Saccharomyces cerevisiae S288C: one gene and its partners. The protein of the gene in region 3 interacts with the protein of the main gene of each other region in a biochemical or structural test. Each region holds a gene or a part of one and is shown on either strand. Other genes may lie near its edges. The genes, in order: CDC7, PSF2, MCM3 and PSF3.

What was found.
Region 1: of the proteins of MCM3 (region 3) and CDC7, one has a biochemical effect on the other in vitro, tested with the Saccharomyces cerevisiae proteins (2 studies listed by BioGRID).
Region 2: the proteins of MCM3 (region 3) and PSF2 form a complex in vitro, tested with the Saccharomyces cerevisiae proteins (4 studies listed by BioGRID).
Region 4: the proteins of MCM3 (region 3) and PSF3 form a complex in vitro, tested with the Saccharomyces cerevisiae proteins (3 studies listed by BioGRID).

Annotation. Positions count from the first base shown.
Region 1 is NC_001136.10:422,274-427,294, reverse strand, and holds CDC7 (serine/threonine protein kinase CDC7), read right to left. Parts: upstream 3,087-5,021; coding exon 1,563-3,086; downstream 1-1,562. Other genes in the region: trans-2-enoyl-CoA reductase (NADPH) TSC13, read left to right, coding at 361-1,293; ERP3 (Erp3p), read left to right, coding at 3,785-4,462. UniProt on the Saccharomyces cerevisiae protein: Serine/threonine-protein kinase. Needed for the initiation of DNA synthesis during mitosis as well as for synaptonemal complex formation and commitment to recombination during meiosis. Required for HTA1-HTB1 locus transcription repression.
Region 2 is NC_001142.9:302,183-309,297, forward strand, and holds PSF2 (DNA replication protein PSF2), read right to left. Parts: upstream 3,681-7,115; coding exon 3,039-3,680; downstream 1-3,038. Other genes in the region: cohesin subunit SMC3, read right to left, coding at 1-667; JEM1 (Jem1p), read left to right, coding at 999-2,936; ARG2 (acetyl-CoA:L-glutamate N-acetyltransferase), read left to right, coding at 3,950-5,674; YJL070C (metallo-dependent hydrolase superfamily protein), read right to left, coding at 5,789-7,115. UniProt on the Saccharomyces cerevisiae protein: Functions as part of the GINS complex which plays an essential role in the initiation of DNA replication by binding to DNA replication origins and facilitating the assembly of the DNA replication machinery.
Region 3 is NC_001137.3:82,836-92,241, reverse strand, and holds MCM3 (MCM DNA helicase complex subunit MCM3), read right to left. Parts: upstream 5,306-9,406; coding exon 2,390-5,305; downstream 1-2,389. Other genes in the region: ion-transporting P-type ATPase SPF1, read right to left, coding at 1-1,984; MTC7 (Mtc7p), read right to left, coding at 5,644-6,063; HYP2 (translation elongation factor eIF-5A), read right to left, coding at 6,093-6,566; UTR5 (Utr5p), read left to right, coding at 6,697-7,197; ANP1 (Anp1p), read left to right, coding at 7,690-9,192. UniProt on the Saccharomyces cerevisiae protein: Acts as a component of the MCM2-7 complex (MCM complex) which is the putative replicative helicase essential for 'once per cell cycle' DNA replication initiation and elongation in eukaryotic cells.
Region 4 is NC_001147.6:46,006-49,948, reverse strand, and holds PSF3 (DNA replication protein PSF3), read right to left. Parts: upstream 1,086-3,943; coding exon 501-1,085; downstream 1-500. Other genes in the region: CTR9 (Ctr9p), read left to right, coding at 1-394; PEX11 (Pex11p), read left to right, coding at 1,306-2,016; SPT20 (Spt20p), read left to right, coding at 2,375-3,943. UniProt on the Saccharomyces cerevisiae protein: Functions as part of the GINS complex which plays an essential role in the initiation of DNA replication by binding to DNA replication origins and facilitating the assembly of the DNA replication machinery.

The DNA of each region.
Region 1 (5,021 bases), on a different chromosome or scaffold from region 3:
GATGAATGATATCTAATTGTTTCTCGAAGAATAACTTATATAACAGTAGTATACCGATGTAAGGAAAACTTCTTGGCTATGTAAAACTTTTTGAAAGTTAGAGGAAGAAAGTATTATACATTCAAGAGAGATGAGCTTTCCAATTTGAAAAATTTTTCAAGAAAAAGAAAAAATTTGAAAAAAAAAAAAGAAAAATATAATAAACATATCATTTTGTACGCAAAAAGTTAAGGAATTATGAAAAGGGACTAAGAGCGTGAATTTTACAGAACGGAGGACAGTAAGATTATATTCTATTTAGCTATCTAGAAACCAATTGAGCTATTTGAGAGAGATACATATTTTGAATTTAATTTGAAAATGCCTATCACCATAAAAAGCCGCTCTAAAGGGTTAAGGGACACTGAAATTGACTTATCCAAAAAGCCTACTTTAGATGATGTTTTGAAAAAAATCTCTGCTAATAACCACAATATCAGCAAGTACAGGATAAGATTAACCTACAAAAAGGAATCTAAACAAGTTCCGGTTATTTCAGAATCGTTTTTTCAAGAAGAGGCTGATGACTCAATGGAATTCTTCATCAAAGATTTGGGTCCCCAAATTTCATGGAGATTAGTCTTCTTTTGTGAGTATTTGGGTCCAGTCTTGGTTCACTCCCTTTTTTATTATCTATCTACCATTCCCACAGTTGTTGATAGATGGCACAGTGCTAGCTCCGACTATAATCCATTTTTAAACAGGGTTGCATATTTTTTAATTTTAGGACATTATGGAAAGAGATTATTTGAAACCTTATTTGTTCACCAATTCTCTTTAGCTACTATGCCAATTTTCAACCTGTTCAAAAATTGTTTCCATTACTGGGTTCTAAGCGGTCTCATTTCATTCGGTTACTTTGGCTACGGCTTCCCCTTTGGGAATGCTAAGTTATTCAAATACTATTCATATTTGAAATTGGATGACTTGAGTACATTAATTGGTCTTTTCGTGCTTTCAGAACTATGGAACTTTTATTGCCACATTAAATTGCGCCTATGGGGTGACTATCAAAAGAAGCATGGTAACGCTAAGATCCGTGTCCCATTGAATCAAGGTATTTTCAATCTTTTTGTTGCTCCCAACTATACTTTTGAAGTTTGGTCTTGGATTTGGTTTACTTTTGTGTTCAAGTTCAATTTATTTGCCGTTTTATTTTTGACTGTTTCAACAGCTCAAATGTACGCATGGGCTCAAAAGAAAAACAAAAAGTATCATACCAGAAGAGCATTCTTGATTCCATTTGTATTTTGATCCTCCTGTTTGCAACATGCCCAAATGCAAGGTAAAGAGATATTAGCTTTCACGAAGTGGCGTAGTAGCACTATTGTTTAAGTATCGTCTGCACCTGTGCCTTTTGGTATTTGGCACTATCTTAAGCGCATGCCACCAATTATGCTAAACCGTTTCACTTTAAGAAATTTTTATTTAAATCTTTCACTATGCAAATATGTAAGTACTTTTAAAATTCTCTTTCCAAAGAAAAGGAAATTATTTCAGACTAGCAGTAATTTATCACTTTGCTATTCAGATATTAGGAGAACATCCTTATCGAGCAAATCTGCCTCGCTTGAGCTGACAACGTCATCTTCGTCAGTACTCTCGCCATCCAGTAAATATGTGTTTTCATTCAATTCATTGAAAAACGGGGTTTTCAGTAAATCTTCTGCTGAACTACGCTTTTGAGGATCCATTTCGAAGCATTGTTCCAAAACCTGGAAGCACCAATAATGATCGGACCAAATTTCTTCTTGATACTTTTTCAACTCATAGGCATCAACAGCATCCATATTTGTCTTGGGGTCAGGTAATTGAGGTTCAATGGACATCCTGTCATGTAATTCTTGTTGTAGAAATCCGAATGTTTCAAAAGCAACACTGTACTCAGGGAACGTACCTATGGTACATTCTTTATTAAGCAAATCATAAACAAATTCCTTCAATCCATTAGAATATCCGTTTGGTTTATCCCAAATGAGCCCACTAGCTTCGAAACCCAATCCATGCAACGCTGCGCATTTTCTTAATTCTTTCCAACCAAAAATAGTACATAACTCTAGCAAAGAATCCGCATCATCTAAACTTTGGAACATTGGAAATCTTCTGCCCAAAAGACTTAAAAGAATAACACCTACGGACCATATATCAATCTTTGTGCTTTGAGCCCCACACTTCATTAACACTTCTGGTGCCCGAAATCCACGAGTCCCTGCTCTATTAGCCCTTTTAATTCTACGCGTTTCATTTTTAGGATAACCCTTTGTCAGATCCACCCCATTTACATTGTTTAAGTGGACGACCTTGCCATTTTGTATGGTGACCATAGGAGGTGTTTGGTTATGTGAGTTAGGAGAATATTGATTACGCATAATGCATGGACAAAATTGTTCGTGATTCCTCATTGAATATCCACCATCATGGTTTGTATTTGCATAATTGTCGTAATCGTTTTGACTAGATATCATGCTTTTATAATCCATTTGAGCCTCGGCTAGACCAAAATCAACAAGCACTCCACGCCCCAATTCCAAATTAAATAAAAAATTTGTCGGTTTGATGTCTCTATGAATAATTCCCTTCGAATGAACAAACTTCAATGCTCTTAGTAGCTCCCAAATGTACTTCTTGATTCCCTTGATTGGTAGATCCCTGTAGAAAGTTCGGAACTCCTCGTGGGGATAGTACGGTAAAACAGCAATGACTTGATCTCGCACCCTTTTTGCATCACATAGAGGGGCTACTCTCGAAGATCCCGTCATTATGTACAGCAGGTTGAGCTCATTATAAATTCTTTGCGGTGACGAGGTAACGTATATTTTCTTCAAAGCAACATAGTTCGAACCATAATTCCAAAAATGTGATGCAAATTTTTTTGTTATTTTCCCAGTGATATCTTTGGCTTTATACACTGACGAAAATGTTCCCTCACCGATCTTGTCTATGAGTTTATATTCATTTTCTATACCCGGTAGATCATGATAGAGCTGTATCATCTCTTCTTTGATTTCTGGAGGTATATCATCGATATTCTTCGTTTTGCTTGTCATTATGATTGTTCTACTTCGAAACTGCCTCTTTCCTAAGAAAATTAGATAATAGCACAATTGTTATTGAAAATTTAAGGTAGTCTGTTACTTCCCGTTACGCCTGCTGAGCGGTTTTTTTTGTTAATGGTTCTTGCATTGATTTTAGGCGGAAATGTGAAGTGCTCTTCTACTCACTAAATTGATGCCGTTCAAGAAGACGCCCCAGGGCAAAGAAGACATAATTTAAAAGCTGACCGGGGACAAATGTTTAAGATTTATGTAGGCCTAAGGCGTTTATCGAGCTAAACGGGAAGTAATTTTACTCTATAAAATGTCATCTACACAAGCATTGCCCCATTAGATTCTTAATTATCTTCAAAACCAGGGCTACACCTTAATTTCCCAAGCTAAAAACATGCTTATATAGAGGTTTAAAAAAAAAGCGTCGTTCGTTGATAAAGTTTACGAACGTATCAGTATGATCGCGTAGGTTTCCACATACTACTTAGACTTCCTACACTGTCATGGTCATTATGTCAACAAAGGTGAGACCAACGCGTCCTGACCTGAATTTTTCTCTCTTTAAAACAGAACGCGTTCTTCATAATCCTCTCCTCAATGAAAGAATTTGGGGGGACAATATCTTGACAGAAACTGGTAAGGCTCTTGATAGTTACCGTACTTGAAGGGACACTGTGAACTGACTAAAAAACTCCGTCATGTCCAATTTATGTGTACTTTTCTTCCAGTTTTTTTTTTTAGCACAATTTTTTGCTGAGGCATCACCGTTGACATTTGAACTGAATAAAGGTCGAAAGGAGTGCTTATATACGCTAACTCCGGAAATTGACTGTACAATCTCATATTATTTTGCAGTACAGCAAGGAGAGAGCAATGACTTTGATGTTAACTACGAAATATTTGCTCCTGATGACAAAAACAAGCCAATAATCGAGAGATCTGGTGAACGTCAAGGTGAATGGTCATTTATAGGCCAACATAAGGGAGAATATGCTATCTGCTTTTATGGTGGTAAAGCACACGACAAGATTGTTGATCTGGACTTCAAGTACAATTGTGAACGCCAAGATGATATTCGAAATGAAAGACGCAAGGCGAGAAAGGCGCAGAGAAACCTGAGAGACTCTAAAACCGATCCCTTGCAAGACAGTGTGGAAAATTCTATAGACACCATAGAAAGGCAGCTCCACGTTTTGGAACGTAATATACAGTACTATAAAAGCAGAAACACCAGAAATCATCACACCGTTTGTTCAACAGAGCATAGAATTGTAATGTTTTCTATTTACGGCATATTATTAATCATCGGAATGAGCTGCGCTCAAATTGCCATACTGGAGTTCATTTTCAGAGAATCGAGAAAGCATAATGTGTAAATAGTTGTGTATTGTTCCTGCATTTTCTATCAACTTGAGAATATATGTTCTTCATATTTAATAGGGGAAAGGAATGACATACCGTATCCAAAATAGCCCTTTTGCTCATGTTAAATCTTATGTAATGACAGAGCTGAAGTGACGTTTCTATTAAAGCACATGTCACGATTTAAAAAATCCTATTTCAAAATGTAGCATTGTTTTCTTCGAGAAATTGACAAAATAATCTTTGTAAGAGTAATTTTTTCTTAGCCATTGGCATATGCACCATGCAATTTCCACCTATTTAATTACACTTGCAGTCAATCAACTCGCTTGGGGATGGTATTCCTCTTGGAGTGTTAAACTATATTTTTAGTGAAAGAAGTGATAAGCAAGTGTGCCAGAAAATACAAGGATATAACACAACTTTGAAAAAGAAAAATTGCCGATTCATCTATTAATGTATCTTGTAAAATTGTTTACAAAGAGTCAATCCGCATTACAGGCAAGATTGAACATGCTATCCCAAAGCCTTAATAGTTATAAGATATCTAAATGTAAAACTGTTAAGCCAGAA
Region 2 (7,115 bases), on a different chromosome or scaffold from region 3:
ACTCGTTGTATTTCTCTAATTCCTTACGTTCCTGTTCCATTTCACTCAATTTAGAGTTTAGTTCACCCATTTCCTTGTTAATTTGAATCTTTTTCTGCTCTGTTTCCTCCATTTTTTTCAATGAAGCTTTCAATTTTACTTCAAATGACTTAGCTCCTACAACATCTTCCAATAACTGCAATCTTTCCTTATCCTTGGCATTAGTTAAGGCGACTATTTTACCTTGTGGTACTATATTATACGGATTATTCATTGAAAAACCAGCGGTTTCCAACATTCTGACTATGTCCCCTTTGGTCACGTTTCTGTCATTTAATTGATAGTCATCCTTCTTCAGCCCTACTGTTCTTCTAATGGTCACTTCGTCATCTCCTCTCGAAAGTACACCGGAGGGCAATATCATAGAATGATCTGGATCGTGGAACACAATTTCTACCGAGGCACTCATCACTGAACCACCAGAACCTTGGTGGATAAGCCCTTGCCTTTCTTCCCTCTTAAGATTAGAGTAATCGTCACTAAGAACAAATCTAATCGCAGCGAAGAAATTCGATTTACCTGAACCATTGGAGCCAATAATAACATTCTGATGCGGCGAGAAATTATCAATAATGGTTTCGTTCCTGTAGGTTTTAAAACCCTTAATTATCACCCTTTTGATATACATTGCAGACGTGAACTATTACCGTTACTCCAGCAGGTCGTCTTGTAAAAAAATGGTGAAACTGTTTAAAGATGAGGTTGAAAACTCATCTTTAATTAGTTTAATCATTTCCTAACGCGTCGCGTCTTTTCCTATTCCTGAGACTTTTTTTCTTTAGGTTCCTAATAGTGAAATGTGACAGGTGTACACTTCGATGGCAGGCAAAAATAGAGCCAAAACTGCTTATAAGTTATTCCAAGTGAAAGGAGTTGGTTGCGAGAAGGGCCCAGAAGGTTTCATTCATTGTTGGTTTAGTGTATTACTAAGGCCGATCTTAACGTCTACGAAACGAAGTATGATACTGATCTCGGGATACTGTCTTTTAGTGTATAGCGTTATTTTGCCAGTACTGATATCGGCTTCTAAGTTATGTGATTTGGCTGAGTTACAACGATTGAACAAGAATTTAAAAGTAGACACTGAATCCTTGCCAAAATACCAATGGATCGCTGGGCAGTTGGAACAAAACTGCATGACTGCGGATCCAGCAAGTGAAAATATGTCAGACGTAATTCAACTAGCCAATCAAATATACTACAAAATTGGGCTGATCCAATTATCCAACGATCAACATCTAAGAGCTATTAACACATTTGAAAAAATCGTTTTTAATGAAACTTACAAAGGTTCTTTTGGGAAGCTGGCGGAAAAGAGGCTACAAGAGCTGTATGTCGATTTTGGGATGTGGGACAAGGTGCATCAGAAGGATGATCAGTATGCGAAATATCTGTCCTTGAATGAAACCATCAGAAACAAAATATCATCCAAAGACGTTTCTGTGGAGGAAGATATTTCTGAGCTGCTACGCATAACGCCGTACGATGTTAACGTCCTCTCCACGCACATCGATGTTCTTTTTCACAAACTAGCTGAAGAAATTGACGTTTCGTTAGCTGCTGCTATCATTTTGGATTACGAAACAATCCTCGACAAGCATTTGGCTAGCTTAAGCATAGATACAAGACTTTCGATTCATTATGTCATATCTGTTTTACAGACCTTTGTACTTAACTCAGATGCGTCGTTCAATATAAGAAAATGCCTTTCCATTGATATGGACTATGATAAATGTAAAAAACTAAGCCTGACTATTTCCAAATTGAACAAGGTGAATCCATCAAAAAGACAGATCCTGGATCCAGCAACATATGCATTTGAGAACAAAAAGTTTAGAAGTTGGGATAGAATTATTGAATTTTATTTGAAGGATAAGAAGCCATTTATTACACCAATGAAAATTCTTAACAAAGATACAAACTTTAAAAACAACTACTTCTTTTTAGAGGAAATTATCAAACAATTGATAGAAGACGTTCAACTGTCGAGACCTTTGGCAAAAAATTTATTCGAAGATCCCCCAATAACCGATGGTTTTGTCAAACCAAAATCATACTATCATACCGATTATCTAGTATACATTGATTCCATTCTTTGTCAGGCTTCTAGCATGAGTCCGGACGTCAAGAGAGCTAAACTGGCTGCGCCGTTCTGTAAAAAGAGTTTGAGGCATTCACTAACACTAGAAACATGGAAACACTATCAGGATGCTAAGTCCGAGCAAAAACCTTTACCTGAGACGGTATTGAGTGATGTATGGAATTCCAATCCTCATTTGCTGATGTATATGGTAAACTCAATACTTAATAAAAGTAGGTCTAAACCTCATTCACAGTTCAAAAAGCAATTATATGACCAGATAAACAAATTTTTCCAAGATAACGGCCTCTCAGAGTCGACCAATCCATACGTGATGAAGAACTTCCGATTATTACAGAAACAATTACAAACCTATAAAGAGCATAAACATCGGAATTTCAACCAGCAATATTTCCAACAACAACAACAGCAGCAACAACACCAACGACATCAAGCACCCCCAGCAGCGCCTAACTACGACCCAAAAAAGGACTATTATAAAATTCTTGGAGTATCGCCTAGTGCTAGTTCGAAAGAAATAAGGAAAGCATATTTAAATTTAACCAAAAAATACCACCCAGACAAAATAAAGGCCAACCATAACGACAAACAAGAATCAATTCACGAAACTATGTCACAAATCAATGAAGCGTACGAAACATTAAGTGATGACGATAAAAGGAAGGAATACGATCTTTCCAGATCAAACCCCCGCCGCAACACTTTTCCTCAGGGGCCTAGGCAAAATAACATGTTCAAAAATCCAGGAAGTGGCTTCCCATTCGGAAATGGCTTTAAAATGAATTTTGGGCTTTGATGAAATACATTCTATGCCCATTAACTAGGATACCACAACAAGTACATATATATACATACGCATATCACTGAAAGTTCTAATTATTGCAAAGCCAGCACTTTTTTAAATATTGAATTCTTCTTCATCATTTTCAGTACCAGCGGTAAGAGATGCTGTGTGAATTTCTCGCAGTTTATCCATGATTTCAGTAATGAACGGCCTCAACTCATTGATTTCTAATAGACTTAAATTATCCAATTGTAAATGAGATTCATTCAAATACTTAAGGCCTTTTAACACTTTGATCTGCCTTATTTCCCTTAAGTCTTGTATTTTACCACGTAATTCGTGAATGGGGTCATGAAAATCATCCTTAGCTTTATTGAAAAGTATACGTGCCAAGACAAGCCAGTTCCACGGCAACTCACTAAACCTATCCGGATGAGTTTTCTCATATTGTATTTTTCTATCAAGCTCTTTCGTCGTTAACCACTGTGGTGCTACAATACTGCACTTGGATTGTTGCTTCAGTAATAGAGCGATCCAAAGAACCACTTCTGTAGAACGCATGGCTACCATATTATTTAAAGCTTTGTCATCTGTAGTAATAAGTTGCCAGCGGGTGTGGTTTCCAGTTCCTCTATCATCGCCACGAATTTTTTGGCGTGTTGTTATTCTGGGAAAAATCTTTATTGGCTCGTTTTCCACAATGAACTGTATTTCTTCTGGTGAGAAAGTCTGCTGCAAATGTGCCGGTAGTGACATGCGTCTATGAAACTAGTCTTATTTCAGATCAGCCGTTGATCCTCTCTAAGTATAAAACTCTTTTTTGTTAACCATTTCATAGTTACACTTTAGGCGACTGATTTTTCATTAAATGGAAAATATCACAAGAAATTTCACGCTGGAGAAAAAAAAGGTTAGTCATCACTGATCTTCCCATGGAGTCATAAGCACGTTCGACATAAATTGTGAAAGTTAACACATTTGAAGCTAGGACCGTCAATCTAGGACACTAGTCGGTTACTTTTATCATGTGGAGGAGAATATTCGCGCATGAACTCAAGTATGATCAACCCAATGCATCTTCAAAAAACTTGATCCTTTCAGTTCTGAATACAACCGCTACAAAACGAGAGGCTAAGGATTATCTCTCAAAATATACAAATGATAGTGGGCAGCATAATCATTGTTTGTTTTTTATCAGGGACCTGCATAAAGTCGCACCAGCGATTTTGTCCCAGTTTTCAAGTGTCATAAAGAGACTAGGAATGCTAGGTTTGCGACCTATGTTTGTAATTCCGCCGTCGCCAACTCATGTAAATATACAGGCAGAGTTACTTGACAGTATCGTTACAGAAGCAGATTTAAAGCCACTTCACCTTAAGGAGGGTCTTACTAAATCCCGCACTGGGTTATATCATTCTGTTTTTTCGCAAGAGAGTCGTTTCTTTGATATTGGAAATTCCAATTTTATACCAATTGTGAAACCTTATGTGTATAATGAAGAGACTGCTTCAGAATTCATGACAAAGGATGTTGTAAAATTTATGGATTGCCTGTGCCAAGGGAATATTCCACACATTGACAAATTCTTCATTCTAAATAATGCCGGAGGTATACCTTCGGGAGAGAGAAATGATAACGCTCATGTATTCATCAATCTTTCTCAGGAACTCGAGCATTTGTCCTCGTCATTATCTCACAATATAAGCACTCTAACCAAACGAGAGCCACGCTCCCAAAACCTGTTACACAGAATGGAGGTGTACGTTAAAAAAGATGAGATATCTTCCTTAGAATGTGAATACCATGATCATTTAGAAAACCTGTTATTGATGGACAAAGTTTTATCAAATCTAGCGGCTACAGCAACGGGACTGATTACAACTGTCAAAGCTGCCGCACTATCATCAGATAGGAAAAATCCTTTAGTATATAATTTATTGACAGACCGATCGCTAATTTCTTCTTCTTTACCAAGGTTTAAAAAAAAGGACGGCGAGATAGACTCACCAGCCAACATGTTTGATGATCACGCATGGTATGAATTGCCTTCCCAACAGGTAAATGCAGCTCCTTCTAACTCAGATGCAGTTTTAGTGACAACTGTTCTCAAAAAGGGCGTCCATATCAAAACTTATGACTATAAGACGCTGACTCAATTCAACTCAATTGGGCTTCCAAAGAAGTTTCACGTACCTGAGAAAGGAGCAAAACCCTCGAGCAATAGTCCAAAACTAGATATCAACAAATTTAAATCCATCATCGATCAGAGCTTTAAAAGATCTTTGGATTTGCATGACTACATAAAAAGGATTAATGGAAAAATAGCTACAATTATTGTGATAGGTGATTATGAAGGCATTGCAATTCTTACCTATGAAGGCTCGGAGGAAAATTCCTTTGTTTATCTCGATAAGTTCGCCGTTCTACCACACTTGAAAGGCTCGCTGGGTATATCTGATATAATCTTCAATTTGATGTTCAAAAAATTTCCTAATGAGATACTTTGGAGAAGCAGAAAAGACAATGTGGTGAACAAGTGGTATTTTCAACGTAGCGTTGCTGTGCTAGATTTGTCGATTGACTTAGACCCCGAACACTGTGATGAAAAGCAAAGCCAATTTAAACTATTTTACTACGGTAACCCTCAATACGCTAAGAGGGCACTACGTGACAAGAAACGTTTAAGAGAATTCATGAGGTCTGTCAGGGACATCAAGCCAAGTTGGGAAAATGAAAAAAATATTTCATGAAACAAAGACGCATTCTCCTCCTCCTTAACTTTCAAGTTTTCATTTTCAGTTTTTAAGGTATCTATATAAATATATATATCTTACTATGCAAAGTTGTTGATATTTCACTTTACCCTACCAAATGGAGTTAATTACTCCAAAGTGATCCCGAACGAAGTTCCACTCTTGATCCAATGTCTCCTTTCTATATCTTCTTCTAATCATCGGAACGTTGTGCTTTATCGAGGTATCTTTCGCTGTATCGTACCAATTATCTATCCCACCCACGTTCTCCTCAAAGTAAGGCGCCTTTTTAACTCCAACGCCAATCCAATGAGCCTTGTACCAACCTTCATAGCCACTAGATAGCACACTTGTTCTCGACAACTCGCACAAATCTGTTGGGTTCAGCAAGTAAATACTTGCTGCTACACTGTATTCTTCAATGAGAGGTTCTAGCGTGTATGAACTATTGTAAAGAATCGATTTTGATGATAAAGAAATTTTTAGTCCCATCTTAAACATTTTCATGAAAGGATTTGTCTCATATGATCTTTGTTCGCCCACAGTGATATCTCTAGAAGGATTGATTTTGGCTGTTTCCTGGTCTTTCAAATAATCATGTTCTAGAAGCACGTTTTTATTCTTCAAAAAGGTCGATTTTTGCGAATTCAGTAATGAAACAGATGATAATGGCGCAGCTAAAATGGGTATTTGAAAGAGATAAAATAAATATTGAATCATTGTTGCAGTATCCCAAAGCGGTTCTACCTGTAGCAGACCACCATTACAAAGCAGTAAGTTGCACACTAACGATTCAACTTGATCTGTAAAATATAAATCCACTCCAAATTGGGAAGTTCTGCTGGATAGTGGAGAACAATAATTTCTTAGGGTGATTGTATTTTGAAGATTTTGTGACCGCAGAAAATTAACTTTCGCTAAACTTTTATAAATATAATACATGTAATGCGCAACAGTTGGATTGTCACCCTGTGCTGTCCAAAATTTTGGCTTACAATTCATATCAGTAAATTCTTTCCAGTAATATTCATCCGACTCTTTAATGACCAGATCCATAGAACACACATTTGATAAAAAAAACTGCAGACCAATGATATCAGTATTTACAGATGAATCTATTGGTAACTGCTCCTTTTCCAGAGTGAATAAAGGATTGAAGATAAGATCCAAAAACTCCTGGAAATTTGACACGACATTTTCCTTGAATAGTTTGGGAAAAATCCTGGCAATTTGTATATTCCAGCGGATATTATACGATACTAGCTTCCATCGTAGCAACCATTGAGAAAATTTCTTGTACCAGTCTTCACCACTGGAATAGAATTGAAAATTAACTGATACTTGGGCCAATTGGTACTTTGATTTTTCGAGGATATGAATAACGTATTTTATGAAAATTTCTGCTAGGTACTCACCTTCAATGAAATTATCAAACTCC
Region 3 (9,406 bases):
CAGATTCAACATCATCACGGTTTAGATCATCAATTTTAGACTGAGACATTTTTGGCAACGACTTAGAAGCCAAAGCCAAAACTCTTGAACCAGAGCGTGTAAAGGATTTATAGATTTCGTCATAATTCTTGGGAATGTCAGAAAGCCTTTCACGAATCGTTTCAGGTGCACCTTTGACAGCAGCAAACAAGGCATCGTTGTGAGAAGCAATAGAAGCAGACCTTTTTAAAGCAGAAGAAAATTGAAATCTACGGATAATATCCAATTTTCCGGTGCCCTCTCTATAGTTACTGTTTTTTCTTTCGACAGCCCAACCAACAGCCTTTAAGGTCGCCTTTTCCATTGGGTCACCAACAATATCACCATCTTCCAATTTAACTAAAGCGTGAGCAGCACCAATGACAAGAATTGTACTTTCTGGTGCTTCGGCAGCGCTGTACAAGTGACGAATGTTTTCGGAGTCCGCAGAGATACCAGCTAGACCTTCAAACACAAGATCTTCGCCGGTCAAAGTACCAGTTTTATCGAAACAACAAACATCAATTCTACCAGCAAATGGAATTCTAAATGGTTCAGTACAATAGACATAGAACTTGGCAAGGGCGGCCAGAGAACTGTTGACAGCCATGGTCAATTCCATTGGTAACTCAGGAGGAACAACAGATGTAATAATTAATATACAGTCCAAGATCAATTTGGATTGAATTCTACCCATTTTTGTACCCTCAACCCAAACGTACCAGGATGCAATAACAGCGAAAATCAACAAGAAAAGAATGAACATCAACGCTTCCTTATTATCGACGGAAACACGTTCAGCGGAGTAAATCATAACTCGAACTAAAGAACCCTGAGATGTTTCAAAGCCAGTTTTGGTGACGATGGCTAAGGCACCTCCATCAGGTGGAGGAGGGATATCCGATTTATGTTCAGGAGGTGTTACTTGTAATGCCTTTGTACCACCATGTAACACAGCAATCTTGTCAACACCGTCCAGTTGTAAATTATCTTCACTAGGACGTAATTTAATGGATTCCTTTAACAAGGGAGTAGATTCACCTGAAAGCATTGCTTCATTAACAATAGCGGAGCCATCGAGCAAGATCAAATCGCAAGGAATTGCGCTCTCCTCGGCGGTTCTTGTTATAGACACTAAATCCATAGGTAACAATTCATTGGTTTGCAATGCTACCCATTTTTTGTTTCTAAACACGTTAATGGTATAAGGTTTGATACCCATAGTTCTAAATTCCTTCAAGGCAGTTAATCTTTGAAATACTGCAGCTGCCTCCATGGAGATAATCATGAATAAGTTAAACAAAGAATAATACCAGAACTCATCCAATAGCCATAAGGCAACACAGAAAACTTGGAAAACAAACAATGGCGCAACAGCGTGCTCTTTGAATAATTCCATAAATGTTGGAATAGGAATATCAAAACTATTCTCACCATATAGTCTCTTCAAATGAGTTAGGTCACCGGAATGGCCCTTACATTTTTGGAAATCACCGATCTTTGGGGATTCATCAACAAGGAACTTTGGTGAAGAAAATACCTGCTCATTTTCATGCCACAAGAATCTTTTCTTTTGAAATTGGAAAAAAGTCTGCAAAGAGCCCGCTTCAGTTACTCTCTGAATTTCAACGATACCATCAGAACCATTATTTGGAGTGGTGTAGATGAGAATGTGAGTAGCTTCATTGACATTTTTAGTAGTACTGTAGTTGAATTTCGCCTTGATCTTGACATTCCAAGCAGGCATTAACATGACTAGGATGTTCAAGGATACCAATGTCCCCAAGTAGACAAAAGTCCACTCAGGTCCTTTGATGTAACGATCATATTGCTGGAAATATAGTTGGGCAAAGGTAGCGTATAACGGGAAAAACGGTAATACGTACGGCTTTGCTATTAATGACTTTGGTACCAGCAATGTCGAGTCCCTAACAATAGGACTGCTCACAAATGATTTCTTTGTCATTTACCGATTCCTATGTTTCTGTAGGTCTGATATGTCAACTATGTCTAGAGCTAAAAGCTTGCTAAAGCTTCATGTTATATGGTGGAAGAGACATTGCCACTTGGCTTTATTCAGAACACGCGAAGAGGAAGAGAAACGCGTAACGTATGGCGTGACAAGAAGCCACGAATGAGCAAGTAAGATAAGCCAAAGTATCACACATATTCATTAACAGAAGATATAGTGCCCCATAACTGCTTACAACACATTCAAACAAAAGAAGGAAATAAGCGTTTTAATACATAATTCTTTAATACACGAATAACAATTAATGAACTAAATAATCTGGAAATGAACTGAAAATTATGAATGACAAAAAGAAAAAAAGCCAAGAATGGAAGTCTTTTAGTAAACATTCCTGTGACATCAGACTCTCCAAACTTTATCGTCAGCAACCATTAAGTTATTTCTGTCCGACATGATCTTCAAACCTGCTAAATATTCTTGAGCGGAGAATTTTTCCTCCTCCGGTAGTTCTTCGTTGATTCTTTCGAACAAAGAGGCCACAGGATAGGATTCTTCTTCAAATATTTCTGTTTGCATCAGACGCGCAATAATACCTGAGATTAAAGACAATCTACCAGTAGAAATGGTACCAGGCTCCACATTGTCAAAAGAAATAACTGACTGTTGTTGCTCATCATCCTGACCTGCAGAAGATACGTTAGGTAATCTTGGAGTACCGACCTCGGTAAGAGGTCCCGACGAACCTTCCTCAGGTGCGTGAAGATGTTCTCTACGTCTTGGAGACACTCTCAACCCCAGTTGAAGCCTTCTTTGTAATTCAGCTTCCTCATCCGCAGGAAGCGGTGACATTATATCGTTATCGTCTTCACCAGCGTTCTGTTCGTCATCTTGAAAACGTAATATTCTGCGTGCTGACGATGGCGTGGCATTAACGGAAGATGCCGTTGACCTTCTTGGAGTAGATTTGATTGGGGATCCAGAGTTGCTTGCTGGTTGTCTGACTCTTTGTCTTTTTTTCGGTGATTTCTGTGGAGACCTCTTCGACAAAGCTTCTTCGTATTCACTTTCCTCTTCATCGATATCATTGCCGATATCCTCACCCAATAGTGCAAACCTTAGTAGATTGGCAGCCACTTTAGCATCCACCTTGTTGACTGTTTTGGATAACCTGACTTTGGCGTGAGCTGTGGCTAATCTGATCAAAGTCTCCAAAGTTCTTGCAGTAATGGGCGATTTTTTGGTATTATCATCGTTTCTTAAATCAGTATAATTTTTCACAATAACATTGATGGCTTCTTGTGTTAACTGTGGAATAACCCTTTCCTTGGCATATTGAACGTACTTTCTTAAGAATGGGATGGTGACTAGCTTTGGAATTTCTGTACCGTTATAGTTACCTTTGTTTTTTGCTAACTTAGCACCTGCTTGTAATAAGGGGTTGAACTTTTCGAAGACATGGTCTTCATCATCTTCTCCTTCATTTTCTACACCAGCCCCGGAGTTGGAATGCTCTTCAGGATTTATATCTGCATCCTCCCCAACGGCTAATGATAAATTCAAACGCTCTCTCACAGGTTCACCCTCTAAATAACCTGGAGGCAAATATCTGTGTGTTCTTAAGACATGCTCACTAATGGATCTATCTCTGATTTCATTGATATCGTCTGTCACAACAAATAGTAAATCAAAACGAGACAACAGCGAGTCCGGTAGGGCAATGTTTTGGTGTGGATCTCTATTGACATCGTACTGCCCAAAAACGGGATTTGCGGCAGCAATAACACTACAACGAGCATTTAATGTTGTGTGAATACCTGCTTTGGCAATCGTCACCGTTTGTTGTTCCATTACTTCATGAATGGCGACTCTATCCACATCTGTCATCTTATCAAATTCATCAATACATACAACCCCGCGGTCAGCAAGAACCATGGCACCAGCCTCTAGTCTTCTTTCACCTGTTTCCCTATCAGTAGTGACCGCTGCGGTCAAACCGACACCGGAAGAACCTCTACCAGTAGTAGCAATTGCCAGTGATGCTGTATTCAACACAAACCTTAGCAATTGGGACTTGGCAGTGGATGGATCACCCACCATTAGGATATTGATGTCACCTCTTAAATGCGAGCCATTTTCTAAATTTTTCTCCACACCTCCCATGAGCATCAATAAAATGGCTTTCTTTATATGGTCATGTCCATAAATAGAAGGCGCTAAAGATTGAGACAAGATATCGAAAATGTCCTTTTTTTTGGATAGTTTATTGATATTTCTTATATCGAAATCTGTCAACATTTGTCTCGCAGCGACACCCGTGGATCTGGCGTGGAGAGGATACACCGTATTACCTAGGATCAGAGTTTTGAACCCGATCAATGTATTAGAGTTGGACTGGTTCATGCCACCAGCACCAAGCGACTTGAATACCCCGACAACGTTAACTCTGTCACCTGGCTTGGTCTTGTCCACAAGGTCGTCATCGAGAATGACGTCAATGGACCTGGGAAGTTGGCCAGCGGGGGCCATTTCGGGCATTTCTTGCACAGTGATACGCTGATGGTCTATGAACGTACTATACCCATATTCGGTGGTTAGTTTGTTACCTTCAGTGTCCTCCGTTGGATAGATGGCAGGCGTTGGGATGCGGGTGGTGAGAGTTGTAGTAGCATCTGTATAATCTCTGTAATGGAATCTACCAGTCTTTGCCGCGTAGTGGACAGATCTGATAAGCTTTGGCCTGACCAACGAAGTCTTAGTTACGATACCCTCAACAGAGACCAGTTTGTTTAAATGTTGTGCCGTTAGAGTACGAGGAGACAATGCGTGTGCACCAAATGAGCCTTTGAACGAAAGCTTCCAAGGATGGCGAGACGATACTGCAGAGGCATTGGGATGTGGAACATCGTCCATGGAATCTGCTAGGTCAGTAAGCGCCTTTTCGGCAGGCGGGATGAAGTATGCTGGTTCGACTAAAATGCCCGACCAGAACGACCTGTCGAATTCTCTCAAGTCATCAAGCGAGATGATAATCCTGTGAGGGAGTATATTCAATGAGGTGGACGATGCTGCTTTCTTTTCCTTTTCAAGATCATCACCGTCGTCATCACCTAGCAAATCTCGTTCGTCTGCGTCATCTTGATCATCGTTGTAGTTGGCCGCGTTATTGCTGTTGTAAACTTGTATGGACCTTACAGAGTCTCTGTATGAGGTGAAAGTATCTAAAAACTCTTGAAATCTGCGCACTCTGTCACCAAACACAGCGTCTGGAGCGAAAAAAGTAGTAGCGTCTCCATCAAATCCCGTTGAGCCTTCCATAATTGACGTTTGTATCTTTTTGGTGCGCTTATAGTGGAGTTCAATACGAGCAGTAGGATGAAAATGCTTCAAGGAAAAGAGCGTAGGCCTTTTCAACTTGAAAGAAGATTAAGAACCTATCTTTCGAGTTTTGACCAAATTTTTCTTTTTTTTCCTAAAACACGAGTTTTTACCCATTTAGGAAAAGTAATTGTTTCTTCTACCGCCTCGATCTGACGAACAAGGGAAATTGAAAAAAAAGAGAAAAATAACGACAACTGCAGGACTCGAACCTGCGCGGGCAAAGCCCAAAAGATTTCTAATCTTTCGCCTTAACCACTCGGCCAAGTTGCCATAACTCATTGAAAATTCTGTTTCCCACATAGGTCAAAACTAATATTTCCCTTGGCCTGCTCTTCAACCTCCCCCGTTCTGAGAGTTCCCTTTTTTTTTTTTTTTTTTTTTTTTTGAGGGGGAAGCGCCGGATTTGCCACCGACCGGCTGCTTGCAGCCGGTAGATATGCGCACATGAAAATCATCCTCCCCAATGAATTACACTGCCTGCATAAGGAAAAAGAAAAGTGTGAAATACGAATAAAAACAAAGTATATTATTGCTATATAGATGATAAATAACAAAATAAATAGAAAATAAAAAAAAGGATTTATTTGTGTATGCTTTAGGAGAACGAAAAAAAAATTGCAAAGAAAAAAACCCGGTTCAGCGAAGAGTACATGATGTGATGGAAGGGGCGTCGGAGTTTTTTTTTCTTTTTTCATTTATATCCCATGCCATGATGTTAACCGGTTTAATCGGTTCTAGCAGCTTCCTTGAAGGAGATGGCGGCTTCTTCACCCATAGCGGAGATGATGGTAACCATCAAGTCCTTACCTTCATCAAAAGCAGTTTGCAAACTGTCACCCAATTCACCTTCTGGAGCCTTGACATCATCCTTAGTGTCACCGTCCATGTTCATCAAAGACAAGAAACCGTCATCAATGTCCAACAATTGGTATTCGTTTCTCTTGACAACTGGAACTTCCATGTTGTGAGTAGATGGAGACAAATCTTCCAACTTCTTACCAGTGAAGATATCAATGGCAACCAAATGGACTTTAGCGTGACCGTGCTTACCAGTCTTAGAAGTGGACATGTCGACAATCTTACATGGTCTACTCTTGATGACAACGAAACCGTTCTTTCTCAAGGCAGAACATTGCATTGGGTAGGTGGCGGAGGAACCAGCGTCAGCAGTTTCAAAGGTATGTTCTTCGTCAGACATTGTATATATGAGTTGGTATTTGTGTGTGTTTGGGAGTCTATGAGTAATTGGCTACAGAAGTAGAATCGTTAGAAAGAAGGAAAGGAAGCAATTGATAGAAGGAGAGGAATTTAGGAAATGAGGGATTCCAATGTCAAGATATGGCAAAAACCTTGTGCATTATATAATCGTGGAACACGACGATCAACGCGGCCAAAAGCCGATCGACGACGACGACGAAAAAAATTTTTATTACCACTGTTCCTTCACCTTCGAAACTTTTTTTCGGGCGACGGCGTTTCTTTTAGCTCCTGCGGTATGTGCGGTGCGGGAGGTCCCTTGTCGCCTCACACGGACCCGATATAACGCTACGGAATACATCGAGGGGTATGGGTGGATGATATCACTGCAGCAAGGTCTGGGTGTTGCAGAATTTTACCGGCCTTGGCCCCTCAGCGTCCAGCTACAGCGTTATACTACTCCAAGTCGCCGTTCCCGTTTTGCTGTTCTCACCCCTCAGAGAAAATGCCACCAGAACGAAGCCAATGGTCAGGACTTATCGTTACTTATACTGTTGAGCCGGATATATCCGCTGTGCTCTAATACCAGCCAAACGAGAAGGGTAGCGGCAAGAAAGGGTAAACTTTCATGATGAAGTTAGCTAGTTCCTTTTACGATTGCTACTATCTCGTTCAACTTGGCCTGCGCTGTTGATGAAAATAGCAGTGACTGCAGAGAATAGAAATGAACCGGGCTCATCTGGTCTAGTTGCCTTCTTTTTTTTATTTTTTTTCATTTTCCTTTTCTTTTCTTTTCTTTTCTTGTCTCACTATGTTGGTTTAATCAATTCGTAATCCCTTTACCAACGCATTGTGTTCAATTTTCCTCTTGTGTGGGGTCGCCCGCCTTGTCTCATCGTGAAAAAATTGCGTAAGATGAAATCATGAAAACATGAAATAAAAAAAATAAATAAAAATAACTACACGATTCAAAAACGCCAAGATCTGTTAGTAGAGACAGCAAGCATTGCAAAACCATTCATCACTCAGTTGCTAGGCGAGTGTTGGTGCGATTTACCCTCATCATCTTTTTTTCGCTCCATTAAACAGTTCCTTGTGGCTTTCATGCAAAGTGTACGTCCATAATGAAGTATAATAACAGAAAACTCTCGTTCAACCCTACCACAGTAAGTATCGCTGGAACGTTGCTTACGGTGTTCTTTCTCACAAGACTCGTGCTTTCGTTCTTCTCGATATCGCTATTCCAGCTGGTAACTTTCCAAGGAATCTTCAAGCCCTATGTTCCAGATTTTAAAAATACTCCCAGCGTAGAGTTCTACGACCTACGAAATTACCAAGGCAACAAAGATGGTTGGCAACAGGGTGACCGCATCTTGTTTTGCGTGCCACTGAGAGATGCTTCTGAGCATCTTCCCATGTTTTTTAACCATCTGAATACCATGACATATCCGCACAACCTGATTGATCTGTCGTTTTTGGTGAGTGACTCTTCGGATAACACCATGGGCGTGTTACTATCCAATCTACAGATGGCGCAATCGCAACAAGACAAGTCCAAAAGGTTTGGTAACATCGAAATCTATGAGAAGGACTTCGGCCAAATCATTGGTCAGTCCTTTTCTGATCGTCACGGGTTTGGCGCCCAGGGCCCCAGAAGAAAGCTGATGGCCAGGGCTCGTAATTGGCTTGGGTCCGTGGCCCTGAAACCATACCACTCCTGGGTTTACTGGAGAGACGTGGATGTCGAAACCATCCCCACTACCATCATGGAGGATCTAATGCATCACGACAAGGACGTCATTGTCCCCAACGTCTGGAGACCTTTACCAGACTGGCTGGGAAACATTCAACCCTACGATTTAAATTCATGGAAGGAATCAGAAGGGGGTCTTCAATTGGCGGATTCCCTAGACGAAGATGCTGTCATTGTGGAAGGGTACCCAGAGTACGCCACTTGGAGACCTCACCTGGCATACATGAGAGACCCAAACGGTAATCCAGAAGACGAAATGGAATTGGACGGTATTGGAGGGGTCTCGATTCTCGCGAAAGCTAAAGTATTCAGAACAGGCTCACACTTTCCTGCATTCTCCTTTGAAAAGCACGCAGAGACAGAAGCATTCGGTAGGCTCTCCCGCAGGATGAATTACAATGTCATCGGCTTGCCCCATTATGTCATCTGGCACATCTACGAACCTTCCAGCGACGACTTAAAGCACATGGCTTGGATGGCTGAAGAGGAGAAGCGGAAACTAGAAGAAGAGAGAATTCGCGAATTTTACAACAAGATCTGGGAGATTGGATTTGAAGATGTCAGAGACCAATGGAACGAAGAAAGAGATTCAATCTTAAAAAACATTGACTCCACTTTGAACAATAAAGTCACTGTAGACTGGTCTGAAGAGGGAGATGGCTCGGAGCTGGTGGACTCAAAGGGTGACTTTGTCTCACCAAACAACCAACAACAACAACAACAGCAACAACAACAACAACAGCAGCAGCAGCAACAGCAACAGCAACAACAGCTCGACGGCAACCCGCAGGGGAAACCTCTTGATGACAACGACAAGAACAAGAAAAAACATCCTAAAGAAGTTCCATTAGACTTCGACCCTGATAGAAACTAGGCTCGGTTTTTTAGTGACCTACATATGAAGTACGAATTCATATAGTTGTACATATATACCGATAATAATATCAAACCTCTATTCTTTGGTCTTTAACTTTTCTTTGAGTGAATTACAATACCATTGTTATATCAATCACTATACACGGCTCGGTGGCGAAATTGAAATTTTTTTATTTTCTTCTCTTTCATTATGGCTAGGCAAGAAATAGCGA
Region 4 (3,943 bases), on a different chromosome or scaffold from region 3:
GAAACTACAAGATGAGGCACAAAAGTTAATCCAGGAGCGAGAAGCCATGGCCATAAGTGAACATAATGTTAAAGATGATTCAGATCTGTCTGATAAAGACAATGAATATGACGAAGAAAAGCCAAGACAAAAAAGAAAGAGGTCAACAAAAACTAAAAATAGCGGTGAATCTAAGAGAAGGAAAGCTGCTAAAAAAACTCTTTCCGACAGCGACGAGGATGACGATGATGTGGTGAAAAAGCCTTCTCACAATAAGGGCAAAAAATCTCAACTATCGAATGAATTTATTGAAGATAGTGATGAGGAAGAAGCTCAAATGAGCGGTTCGGAACAAAATAAAAACGATGACAACGACGAAAACAATGATAATGATGATAACGACGGATTGTTCTAAGAAGAGGCGAGGGTTAGAATCAAGACTTTTAAAGAAACTTAATATTATACTGTTGCCTTTTTTTTATAGTTATTTTATATAGTGTATTTCTAAAGAAAAAGATGTGTTATTTTTTAAACATCCACCTTTTCGTGTCCTTATAAGATTCATGAGACTTTTTATATATCTCCTTCTCCATTTCTTCTAGTTTCAGTAAAAATGTGCTAGTTGCTATATTAGTGTTCGCTGAATTTTTTCCGGTCGAGTCTGCATTGAGATCAATCGATAAACTACTAGCATGATGATTAAGTTCTTGGGCACGTTGCAAAAGTAGCTCACTAACGACATTGGCCAGTTCTTTTTCGCTAAACAACATTATCCATTTTATGGCTAGACTGAAGAAATGCGAATTTATGGAATGCAAGTCCAGAGCCACCGGATCGGTCTTTATAGCGTTCATAACTTTCGTAGAAAACATATCTGGTGGCAGGAGTTCCACAAAAGGTACAGGTTCTTCATCTACCAAGGCTTCGTCACCACCCACAATTGCAAGGATTCTTGCTAACCATAGTGGCAGGCTTAGTTTAGTGTTTTTCGTTATGGGTCGTCCTGGGTTGTTTTCCAAATAACCAAGACCAGGAATATCATATTGAAATTTACAAGGAAACTCTGTCCCATCTGCTAGGACATCATCAATGTCATAGTAACCCATCCTTTCTATGCTTGCCCTTCTATTGTAAAAATATAATACCAAGAACAAAGTTGGCATCAATTCCATTGCGATTTTCACTACGCGTCGGCATTTATCTCGGAGAACCCGAAGCGATGGGTATATCATTTATAGATATAAAAGGGAAGTGACTCCAACAACTGAAAAACCGTTGTCTCCATCTACTACTTCAAAGACTTCATCAAGTAATAGTATAATCAATATGGTCTGTGATACACTGGTATATCATCCCTCCGTGACGAGATTCGTCAAATTTCTAGATGGCTCAGCTGGCAGAGAAAAGGTTCTCAGATTACTGCAGTATTTAGCAAGATTTTTAGCAGTACAGAACTCATCTCTCTTGGCCAGGCAATTACAAGCTCAATTTACCACAGTCAGAAAATTTCTGAGGTTTCTGAAGCCTTTAAACCACTTGCAGGCAGCTGCTAAATTCTACGATAACAAGTTGGCCAGCGACAACGTCGTTAGAGTCTGCAATGTTTTGAAAAACATCTTCTTTGCTGCATATTTGTCGTTAGATCAAGTCAATCTTTTGAGAATTTTGAAAGTGATTCCTGTAACCGTTCTTACCGGTAAGAAAATACCTCGCTGGTCCAATTGGTGTTGGCTGTTCGGCCTCCTAAGTGGTCTGGCTATGGATCTTCGTAAGATCCAAACATCTCATGCCCAGATTGCTGCGTTTGTCAAGGCAAAATCACAAAGCCAAGGCGATGAGCATGAGGATCACAAGAAGGTACTAGGGAAGGCATACCAAGACAGGTACACCGCGTTAAGAAGACTATTCTGGGATGCTGCAGATTCGTTCATCGTCCTCAACAACCTAGGGTACTTGTCTAGCAACGAAGAGTATGTTGCGCTATCCGGTGTTGTCACATCTATCCTTGGTATGCAAGACATGTGGAAAGCTACATAGCTTTCTTTTCATCTTTTTTTTTTATTTGGCTATTCTCCGCTTATGTTTGATTCGACCCTTCTTTATAATTTATTTCTTATGTATATGACCCAATGTTCCATGTCCATACCTGTATAAGATTCTGAGTGACAATAGTTCTTGTTATCCGCACCATTAATAACTAACTAACTATCTTTAAAGTAAAACTGGGATCGCTATAACTGCTTAGTTCTGTTACCCGCTCGTGATACCTGACGACCATTAATCATGAAGAAGTGTTAAGATGATCGACCAGCAGAGATAAAAGAATGAGAAAAGTAGCCTTCAAGAGGATTAGGAAGGAATAGTTACGGTTAATTTGCGCCTATATATTTCAGGGATGAGTGCCAATAGCCCGACAGGAAACGATCCCCATGTATTTGGTATTCCTGTGAACGCAACACCATCCAATATGGGTTCGCCAGGCAGTCCAGTTAATGTACCACCTCCTATGAACCCAGCGGTAGCAAATGTAAATCATCCTGTTATGAGGACAAACAGTAATAGTAATGCCAATGAAGGTACTAGGACTTTAACCAGGGAGCAAATACAGCAATTGCAGCAAAGACAACGATTATTACTACAGCAAAGACTACTCGAACAACAGAGAAAACAGCAAGCACTCCAAAACTATGAGGCTCAGTTTTATCAAATGCTTATGACCTTAAACAAAAGACCTAAAAGACTTTACAATTTTGTGGAAGATGCAGACTCAATTTTGAAAAAATATGAGCAATATTTACACAGTTTTGAATTTCATATTTATGAGAATAATTATAAGATTTGCGCTCCTGCAAATAGCAGGTTACAACAGCAGCAAAAGCAACCCGAGCTGACTAGTGACGGTTTAATATTAACCAAAAATAACGAAACTTTGAAAGAATTTTTAGAGTACGTCGCAAGAGGAAGGATTCCTGATGCTATTATGGAAGTCTTAAGGGACTGTAATATCCAATTTTACGAAGGAAATCTTATTTTACAGGTTTATGACCATACTAATACAGTTGATGTCACCCCCAAAGAGAACAAGCCTAATTTGAACAGCTCTTCTTCCCCTTCAAATAATAATAGCACACAGGACAATTCCAAGATTCAACAACCATCCGAACCTAATAGTGGTGTGGCAAATACAGGCGCAAACACAGCAAATAAGAAGGCATCCTTCAAACGACCTAGAGTATATCGAACATTGTTGAAGCCTAATGATTTGACGACGTATTATGACATGATGTCTTATGCAGATAATGCCAGGTTTTCTGATAGCATTTATCAACAGTTTGAATCTGAAATTTTAACACTTACCAAGAGGAACTTGTCACTAAGTGTGCCATTAAATCCATATGAGCACCGAGACATGTTGGAGGAAACAGCTTTTTCAGAACCTCATTGGGATAGTGAAAAAAAATCCTTCATTCACGAACATCGTGCTGAGTCTACGAGAGAAGGCACGAAGGGCGTTGTAGGGCATATCGAAGAACGCGATGAATTTCCGCAACATAGTTCAAATTATGAACAGTTGATGTTGATCATGAATGAACGCACAACAACGATAACCAACTCCACGTTTGCTGTTTCGTTAACCAAGAATGCGATGGAGATTGCTAGCTCCAGTTCCAACGGGGTACGTGGAGCTTCGTCCTCAACTTCGAATTCCGCATCAAATACAAGGAATAACAGTTTGGCTAATGGCAATCAAGTAGCTTTGGCAGCGGCAGCGGCTGCGGCTGCAGTGGGATCTACCATGGGTAACGATAATAATCAATTTAGCAGGCTGAAATTTATTGAACAATGGAGAATAAATAAAGAAAAAAGAAAACAGCAGGCTTTAAGTGCAAACATCAATCCAACCCCCTTCAACGCTAGAATATCGATGACAGCACCATTGACTCCACAGCAACAGCTACTTCAA